Linked DNA regions of Saccharomyces cerevisiae S288C. The gene in region 1 interacts genetically with each later gene. Each region holds a gene or a part of one and is shown on either strand. Other genes may lie near its edges.

Region 1 (3,843 bases):
GTCGATCTCCCTCTTCATCACGGCTTGGTTAAACTTCAACTTCCTGGGGAATTGTTCCTTCTTTTCGTTCATAAGGTCTTCAGAATCTTCATCTATGGAGGAAATTTTAGTGCATGTAGAATGCTGGTCGAAAATGGAAGACGTGTGAGAATCAACAGACGATGGGCATGAAATGTCTTCTAATTTCACCAAAGCGTTGTCATTGCTCTCTATAGAAGCGTTAATCTCATCCACCTCCTCGGTTACCCAGCATTCCGTATTTTTCTTTAAAGCAGATTTTAGATTTTTTGTTTGTTTCTGGTCAATTTGGTTCTGGACCGGCGATATTTCGTTTTCATTACTATCTATGTTAGTCAAATCTGGACCGTACAACACCGTTACATCGGTTTCTTTGTTCCAGTTGATGGACAGTGGATTGGATTTGGAGTTCTGTAAACCATAGTGATTTATGGACCAACGCCTCCAGAGGCAATGATGTAGCCTAACGAGGTACATGTTGTAATCTAGCACGTCCTCTGAAGAGCAACTTGGTAATCGAAGTAGTTTATGTTTGCGCATCTTCAATAGTAGTGTCCATGAAGCCGATATTTCCAAGCTTGCATCATTAAATTCATGATGGAAATAGTCAATCGCAGGCTTGTTGTAGTTGGTCATGTTATCCAGTAACATTATATTCTGGTACGAAATTATTGTATCGTCCAAACTAGTCATTTTCTGTATATGTATCTATTTGTGTGTGTATGAACACTTGTGTGTAGTATCTGAATGCGATAAGAGAAAGGGCCAAAGTTGAACTGAATGCAAAAAGTAAAACCTATAAAACCGTGTTGACCATACGCTTTCATATATATATATATATATGTTTGTTTTTGCTAAGACCCGGTAACTGTACTTTTTCTGCAGTCATCCAAGGGAAGACAAAAGAAGAAAGAAAAAACAAGATTAATGTCCCCAGGTTTTTTCTTTTCCTGGCGGAAAAAGCTCAAATCTAACATTTCCCCGCGGGGGTTTCTTTGTAAAGAGTATCGAGTCGGAAACGAAAAAAAAAAAAAGATGAGAAAATGAATTTTTCCGGTCGCCTAAAGATAGAGGTACCAGCGGAAAAAATGCAGCAAAAGCAAAATACCCCATTCAAGTTCCCCCTGTCTCGCCCCTCTCACGCTTCACTGTCCCCCGCTTTCGGTTTTTCCGGCTACGGCATTTCTGTTGAAAGTTGCCGGAAAAACCCCAAAAAGCATAAAAAAAAAGAGCGGGGGGAAGAAAAAAAGATTCCTTTCTATCTTTTCCTTCCCCGGCCTATTCGGGTACTCGCTTCCGGGTCCGCTGTCGTTTATAATGATTAGTGCAGAGAGCTTTCTTCTCTTAGTTTTTCATGTGGTAAAGGCAATGCCATTTAGAAGGATACTACGTGGGGTTCAAAACCGTGAATACGTTGTCTATCGTGTTATGTATGTTCTGAGTTTCTTTTTGTCATTCTACTAGTTTATGGACTGGGACTATGTATCTTGCAGTATGATTTCGTCAGGAAGCTTGTCATAGCAAGGCCTGAACAAATCGTACGTTAAAATAAAAATGAGCACCAATTCGAGTCACTGATGCCTACTGCTCAATCCAACCATCTAGTTCTGCAAAGATACTTACTCCGCATAATTAAAAAAATAAGGTATTTTAAAGTTGTGTAGTGACGAATGTAGTGACGCGGAAACGTTTTACTCGTCAATGGACATTTGCGAATGTGTCCGATAAATAGTTGAGGCTTTTCCTGCATTCTGTCAAGAAGGGTATGTGTATGAACATGCAAATGACACTGTAAAATGATTCATTACCCTGATTATGGAGTGATTTTCTTTCCTTTTTTTTTTTACATTTAGTTTCATTATTATGCAAATTAGAGGGTATACAGTTGAGATTTTAACACTTTGAATTAAAAAGTGTTACAGAGGAAACCGACGCAAAAGGCTTGGTGACGCAAACTTTTCCATCTTTATTTCACCTCTTCAGACGGTCCTAAGACCTTTTGAACGTATCAATATAGTTTTATCATCTGTTCTCTGTTGTTCTCCGTTACTAAGATATTAGTCAGCTCTTGAAATTTCACACCCCTATTTATTTGTCTTAGCGTCCAACCCCTCTCAACCCTTTTCCATTTCTTGTATAAAGGTAGTTAATTAGGTAACGCTGCTCTTACCATCACTACAGTGCTTACGAGAATTTACCCAAACCCTGCGCAAGATAAATAAGAAATGTCGAAACAGTGGGCGAGTGGTACAAACGGAGCTTTCAAAAGACAGGTTTCGTCCTTCAGAGAAACAATCTCTAAGCAACACCCAATTTATAAGCCAGCAAAGGGAAGATATTGGTTGTATGTTTCACTTGCATGCCCATGGGCCCATAGAACACTAATTACGAGGGCTTTGAAGGGATTAACCTCTGTTATAGGATGTAGCGTAGTCCATTGGCACCTTGACGAGAAAGGATGGAGATTTTTGGACATGGAAAAGCAATTGGAGGACAGTGAAGATTTTTTGGAACATTGGCACGATGTTGCAGGTGGTATTAGAACTGCTAAAGAGGATTCCAGCAAGAGCTTCGCCGAGATCAAGAATGACAGTCAAAGATTCATGGTTGATGCTACCAATGAGCCTCACTATGGATACAAGAGAATCAGTGACTTATATTACAAGAGCGATCCTCAATACTCGGCAAGGTTCACCGTCCCAGTCCTGTGGGACTTAGAAACCCAAACAATTGTTAACAACGAAAGTAGCGAAATTATAAGGATTTTGAACTCTAGTGCGTTCGATGAATTTGTCGACGACGATCACAAGAAAACGGACCTTGTTCCTGCTCAGTTGAAAACACAGATCGATGACTTCAATTCTTGGGTTTACGACAGCATCAACAATGGTGTATACAAGACCGGATTCGCAGAGAAAGCAGAAGTTTACGAAAGTGAAGTCAACAACGTATTTGAACATTTGGACAAAGTGGAGAAAATCCTGAGTGACAAATATTCCAAATTGAAGGCCAAATACGGTGAAGAAGATAGACAAAAAATCTTGGGTGAGTTCTTCACTGTGGGTGATCAATTAACAGAAGCTGACATTAGATTGTATACTACCGTCATAAGATTCGATCCTGTGTACGTCCAACATTTCAAATGCAATTTTACCTCTATTAGAGCCGGATATCCATTTATTCATTTGTGGGTAAGAAATTTATACTGGAATTATGATGCCTTCAGGTACACAACAGATTTTGACCATATCAAGTTACACTACACGCGTTCCCACACAAGGATCAACCCCTTGGGAATTACGCCCCTGGGACCCAAGCCAGATATTCGTCCTTTATAACAAGCTGTAATTAAATAATCAAATGTCTATAATCTCCCTGAGTTGCCTCTTTTTCTATACTCAATTGGGTAATTGACGCGAAACGCGTTAAAGTGCAAAAAAAGGCCTGGAAATTATATTTAACGCAATGAAATATTTTCATAATATGACATTCATGCACAGCTGTATTCATTCTTCTACTTTGTAGTTTGTTATTCTTCTTTATCGGTTTCGTTTTACAAAAGATTTTAGCAAGGAAGCAGTTTTTAAACCAATCAATGGTATACACAACACCGCAACAACAGCAGAGATTCAGCTCCACACCGCAATCTAGCCACACTCTTATCTTCTCGCCAATCAGAGCCCCTTCAATGCAAACGCCCTCCTCATTGGATTACCAATCACCTTCAATTGTTGTGTCATCGTCTTCAATGAAGGTTCACGGCCGGTCTTCCAGTTTCGGTAAATTTTCACTGTCTATTGGGCAAAATGGTAAGGCTACAATACT
Region 2 (2,986 bases), on another chromosome or scaffold:
ATATATTCAACGATGGGAAAATAAAAAGACATATAAGAAAAATGTGCTAGTACGGTAAGGAGGATACTGAAAAGAAAAGGAAAATATAGTTTAAAATAGTAAAGATAACCCACTTTCGTTATGGGTTTAGTGAGGGTTGGTAACGAACCGTAGCGCGGTGTAGTATGCTGTGAATAATTGTACTTTAGCATAGTTAACATTACAATCTTTGTACGTTTATATAACAAATATGATAGAGTATGAGAAAAATTAAATGATACATTTTGAGGTTAAGGTTGAAACTATTATATGGAAGAAAGGTGGAATATAGTTAGGGCCAAAATGACACTATAAATGACATGATGTGAGCCTTAGTAAGGTGAGAGCTACGCTTCCTGGTTTAAATCAAAACCGAGAGCCCAAAATATTATCGGTATCGACGTAACATTTCAATGTCATTCAAGCTTAAAGGAGATCAGCGCAAATGCGTGAAGTCTTAGTCATTGTAAATGCGATTTTTCTTTGTTGAAGGTGAAGTCGGAAAATTCACATGACTGCAAAAAAATCCTAGTCTACAGTATGGTAACCAAAAAATGCTATATATACATATGTCCTGCATGAAAGAGAGGGCGAGTTTTCAGTTTGACAAGCTTTCTCTTATTGCTGCTATTCCTCTCTTTTGTTTGCCATTTTCAAAATTTGTTTTGTCTAACCATTCTTCAAAGGTTTTACGAATGCGTAACCATTCTTTATCGATTATTGAAAACCATTGAGTGTCGCGAGTGCGACCCTTATATACCACCACTTGTCGAAACGTGCCTTCATACTTAAAGCCTAAGCGCATCGCTGCCCTCCTTGACGGCCCATTTAAACTATCACACTTCCACTCATATCTCCTGTATTGAAGATCATCAAATACATACTTCATTAACAGAAATTGAGCTTCAGTTGCAATAATCGTCTTCTGTAATTCTGGTGAAAAAACAACATATCCAACTTCTAGTGAACCGTTGGCTTCATCGATTCTTATTAAGCACAATGTACCAACGGCACGTTCAGTCTCTTTATTAATAATTGCGAAAGGCACAGTATCTTTAGTTTCATTGAGTTCCTTAATGAATTCTAGATATTCCTCCAAGTTAGTGAATGGTCCCGCAGGTAAATACGTCCATAATTTTTGGCCTGCCTCACTATAGGCACTAAAAAGTTCCGAACCATGTCTTTCTCTATCTAGAGGTTCTAGTCTGCAAGTGTTACCTTTCAATACAACTTTCTCTGGGAAGGCCCTTGTTGTCCAACCTTCGACGTCAGCACCAACTTCTTGCCCAAATATATTTAAATTCGCCATAATTGTTTCTACTGAAGGGCATTATTTCCAGGTTCAGAGGCGGGAAAATTCTTGCAAGGCGTCCTCCCATGCTATTTTTATATCATTGTTGATTGTTTATCAACCTCTTATCAACCTCCTATCAACCTTTGAAGAATGGCTCAAAAAAAAAACAACCTTCCATTATGAACCAATAAACAGAGCAAATATCACGTGCACAAAGAACTACGAACTTTTTGACTTTCACACTGGCGATGATCCAAGACGTATTACAGTACAAGAGATCTGCTTTATTGTAAGCCCAGTAAACAGCTTCTTATAGACTCTGCAAATATAGGTACAGAGTTTGCATAATTTTCTAATATACACTTATGCCTTATGATAATCCCAATTTTGAGAAGGAGACAAATTCAGCGAGTGGCGTATAAGTGCGTGCGCTATTGAAACAAATCTCACATAAATGTGTTTATGATCAGCAATAACCTTATCGATGCAACAGAAAATGTGATTCGCGAAATTTGCATCTTTCTTTTCAAAAAATATTTCAAAAACAAATTGCCAAGAGATGATGAAAACAAATCACTCAATTCAAGTTAAATAAGAACTCGTGTATATATAGAAAATATGAGGAAATGTACTCCATTTCAACTGCTTGACTTTAAAATGATGCTGGCTCATGAGAAGCCTCCAAGAAATAATATCGGTGTTACTATTCCAATACTTTCGATCCGCTCTGTGCTAAATAGGCAAACTCAAAAGTAATAAATACATACACATATTACGGAGATTTGTGCCTTTAAGGAATATAAATTATAATTATCTGCTAGTTTACATTTTAATGGCTCCAAACATTTATTTTCTAGAAGTGCTCCTTAATAAACAATAATCTTAAAAGAATAATTATGGAGCGTGTCCGGTTGTAATTAATACTCAGTAATTATATATAATTTGAGAATTATGCTCGTGTGCATTTTCTTCCAATATATTATACTCTGAACCATGTCGTGCTGTGTGCATAAAATTGCTCGATGAAAATCTTAACCCACCTTTTAGGTTGAAAAAAACATGTTCACTTTTTCACTAAAGACTTGTTACCACGGATTGTGCTTCTTTAACGTATGGCCATAGCTCAACGTTCAACGAAGCAAACCACATAGTTTTTTTTAAAGATAAAAGGCGATAGAAAAAGCAGCTAAAAAACCATTCACAGTCAAGTCCATCGTAGAAAAACTCTTCATTATTCCAGACTTTTTTCTCAAACAAATACCTATTCATTTTCTTTGCAATTTCGTCCCATCCATTCGCACCGCTTTCTTGCTCATTTATAATAGTTGACAAGAACTGCATCTTGTGTTCCATTTTAACGGATAAAACAATCATTCCCATATTTTGGAAATCTCTCGTCATGATAAAAAACATTACTACCGGAAACAAGAAACGTGATATAAGGTCAACATTTCCAGACGTGTAGACAATTAAAAAATAATAAAGGAAGACTTGTAAACACCGCAGCTTGAAAATCCTTTTAAGAATCCAGGTAAGCTTAAATCGGTAAGCTTCTTTGGGAAGTTTAGCATCTTCTAGGCCAACAGGGCTCCATGATTTTTCAGTATTAAACAACTTCCATTGTTTTTCAACTTCTGTAAAATAAACTCCCAATGCTTCTTCAATGTAAGAGAC
Region 3 (3,427 bases), on another chromosome or scaffold:
GTTTGCATTTTCAGGGTTCGTATCATGACTGTTTGGGTCTATTCTTTCTTCATTTCCAGATACGTTGCTAGACGACGTTTCTGCTGCGTTTTGTTCATTGTCTGCAGGCAAGTCTGTATTTTCCTTTTCTTCGTTCTTTTTCTTGTTTAAACCAAAAAATCTGACCATCGGTATATCGAGTTTACACCAGTACTATGTACATGCAAAAAGAAAGGAGGATATCTAGTATGTTTATTCAACCTTTATTGTATATTTACGTTTTCTGTACTGTATAATTTCATTTTCGAATCTTACTTTTTTTTTTTTACTCAAAAATACTTCCGCCGCGGCGTTCTACAATTTCACTTAAAATTAGTTTGGGTAATAATTACATACAATGCTGCAGACGTACATAAAAAACCATCAATGCTACGTTTCCTGATCTTTTCGTACATAAAAGATTGTGCGTATCAGCCACAAGTAAGCTTGGACTTAAGATACACAAAAATAAAAAGTAAAATTTAAAATTTGTCTTCCAAAGGAGAGTCATTGAGCAGTTGATGAAGTTTAGTTGAGCTTTGAGAAAGCTCACCTACTTGGCTTGTACCCTTCTCTTTATATGTACTCACTGCAGGGATGTTTGCTTTAATTTTGGTGACCTTTGTGCCATAGGCCCTAGGCTCCAGCTTGATCAATGTGTGTAGTGGGATTGACATCCAAGGGGATTCCTCCTGTGGAACGTTCATAAAATATGCATATATACACCGAAGTACGGCTTGATGAGTTATAATGAGAACATTTTCTTGGCGCTCCAATTCCATAATGACGGGCTCTAAACGAATCACTACATCTCTGTATGATTCTCCACCACGATATCTGTACTCGTATTTGTCATTATCACGTGCTTTAAAATCTTCAGGATATTCTTTTTCAATTTCCTCATACGTCATTCCGTCACAAACGCCAGCGTCTAATTCATCAAGTGCTTTCCATTGCAGTTTCTTATAGGGAAGATAATTTGCCGTTTGTTGTGTTCTTTTTAAGGTGGAAGTCCACACGGTCAAATTTATTTCTCCTGCGCTCTCTTTCACTAACTGCTCCAATTTTTTAGCGTACTGAAAGCCTCTTTCAGACAGTGATGAATCCCCGCCAATTTTTTTCTCTACGTTATAGATCGATTCGCCGTGACGGGAGAGCCAGATATATTTTGGTTTAGGACGAATATTCATAACATAAAATACAATCCTACTTTCCAAATATGTTCTGATCTTATTAATTACTACTTCTTCAATAATATTGACCAACTTAATGAACGTCATATCCTTATCTTTTTGGGGGTCCAAAGGTTCATAAAATCTTTCATATTGTCTAATTCTTTCCAAAAAATCAGCTTCCGCCACATGAGGTTCAGAGTTTTCATAATCAGGAGATGTGCTACCGATATCCTTAGCGTTATTTATAATCAGTTCATGATCGTTACTCCAGCTCTCTAAAAACATCGGTTGAATATTATTCTTTTCACATATATCTTTAAGCCATTTCCTTCTTTTACGTGTACTATTAGTAGCATCGAAAACTGCCACAGATCCGTCTTCTTTAGTAAAAAAATTAACAATATCTTTTATGGCATTTTGGGCAGCCAATTCTCTGAGTTTAAAATTATCTGTATTTTCGAAGTTAAAAAACTCAGCATCCATTGGGACATTTCCACTCACGTCTCTTCTGTAATTTCCCACATTAAAACACTTGGCTTTTATGGATAACCACGATAAGTACCTGATAATTTTTTGGGAAATAAAAGACTTTCCTCTAGCTGGTAGGCCAACCATTATCACACATACTTTGATATCATTATCGTTGGAAATAGTACTGTACCCCATGTTTCTTGTCTTACTTGATTCGGTTTTTGAGCCCCCTTTCCTTTATTTCTTAACAAACTTGCTTGGTGAATTTAAGAGCGAAGGGAAAGCAAAGATTATATATTAAATTCGTATCCACTGGCCAAAATGATACTTTACCTGATGTAAATGTATGATAAGCTATAGCTCTCTTAGTGGCGCTTTACATGTAGATGTAAGTTAGGGATAAGAATAGATTTGTGAGCGCATTGGCGCGACCCATTTTTTTAACACAGAAAAAAAGTAAAAAATAGAAATTACCCAATTAAGTGTTTTTATAGTAAACAATCCTTGATATCTTAGTTGAAAATAAACTCGAATTATGTACAAGTTTCCTTCCACTTAATCTATGATCCTTCTTTAGGTAAATTTTTATTAGCTTTATTTGTGTAGTTTTTTTTTATCTTGGGCATGTACGAAGAGCAAGTACGTTATTTAACTATACATATATGACTTTGAAACGATCGTCAACTTCTCTTTGACTTTCAATGTACTCACAAGTGCGTCGAAAATGGTGGATTGGGATATACTTCAGTTGGTGCAGTAATTTACTACCTGAAGCAGTTGCTACGACTCCGCGTATTAGCGTGGAAGATCCGTTCAGAGTATTTAATTGAATATACGTACCATCCGATCCTATGGCAACATTTGATTCCTTATCTGTGATTACAGAGCCATCGTCAGCATTACTGCTTGCCTTCACATTATTTTCTCCGGTGATGTGCAAATCACTGATTGAGTTGGTAATCATAGAGGCACTGTTATCTTCTAGTTTTAGCGATTTTAAGTTTGTTTTGATTAGTTCGATCAGACCATTGATGTATTTTATCGATATATGAGTTTCGGACTCATCCCCGTGAATAAAATAGTAGAGGCATCTATTTAATATTTCGACCATTAGCTCACAACTCTGTTCGTTATCCATTATAGAATCCGCCACACGGAGAGACCTTTGTAGACATTCTAACACCCGTTTACCATCTCTGTAGAAGTTGTCTGTGATACCTTCTTCCTCACCAATATTTGAAATTTCCGTTGCCCACCAGAGGTGGGAGCATAAATAAACAGCACGACATTGGTCTTGTTTCTTTAATAATTTGGATCCATGGAGTGTGCATCTGACAATCAAAGAATCATAATAAGCTTCTTTGTAGAGTGATCTTGTCTTTTGTAAAGACTGAGCAATATATATTAAAGCCTGTAACTGAGTCTTTGAATCACTTAGAGACTCTTCAAATATTGTGAAGGCCTGTGAGAAAAAATCATATGAAATTTCGTTTAATTGCAATTGATCAGCTAGAATGGCACATTGTAAATTCAGTTTCAGAATCAGATCTGTGCATGAGTTGTTGCAAGAATTAAAGATATCATTGATACAACGAGAAACAAATTTAAACATTTGCTTTAAAAGATTGGAATAATGGGAAAGTAACGTCTTGTTATCGGGTCTTTTTTTCAAAAGGTACTCTTGTATCATACGGCATTTCCTCATCAGTTTCCAAAAATTTGTGATTATTGCTGGAAAAGTGTATTTAACATTGATGCCACCT

What was found.
Region 2: mutations in ECM4 (region 1) and YIR042C together harm fitness more than expected from each alone (negative genetic interaction), as found in Saccharomyces cerevisiae (one large-scale study listed by BioGRID).
Region 3: mutations in ECM4 (region 1) and FBP26 together harm fitness more than expected from each alone (negative genetic interaction), as found in Saccharomyces cerevisiae (one large-scale study listed by BioGRID).

Annotation. Positions count from the first base shown.
Region 1 is NC_001143.9:580,040-583,882, forward strand, and holds ECM4 (S-glutathionyl-(chloro)hydroquinone reductase), read left to right. Parts: upstream 1-2,243; coding exon 2,244-3,356; downstream 3,357-3,843. Other genes in the region: YKR075C (uncharacterized protein), read right to left, coding at 1-711; MSA2 (Msa2p), read left to right, coding at 3,614-3,843. UniProt on the Saccharomyces cerevisiae protein: Active as '1-Cys' thiol transferase against beta-hydroxyethyl disulfide (HED), as dehydroascorbate reductase and as dimethylarsinic acid reductase, while not active against the standard GST substrate 1-chloro-2,4-dinitrobenzene (CDNB).
Region 2 is NC_001141.2:434,657-437,642, forward strand, and holds YIR042C (uncharacterized protein), read right to left. Parts: upstream 1,328-2,986; coding exon 617-1,327; downstream 1-616.
Region 3 is NC_001142.9:128,785-132,211, forward strand, and holds FBP26 (fructose-2,6-bisphosphatase), read right to left. Parts: upstream 1,860-3,427; coding exon 501-1,859; downstream 1-500. Other genes in the region: SSY5 (Ssy5p), read right to left, coding at 1-168; retromer subunit VPS35, read right to left, coding at 2,317-3,427. UniProt on the Saccharomyces cerevisiae protein: Monofunctional, high-specificity fructose-2,6-bisphosphatase, which releases phosphate from the 2-position of fructose 2,6-bisphosphate. Has no detectable 6-phosphofructo-2-kinase activity.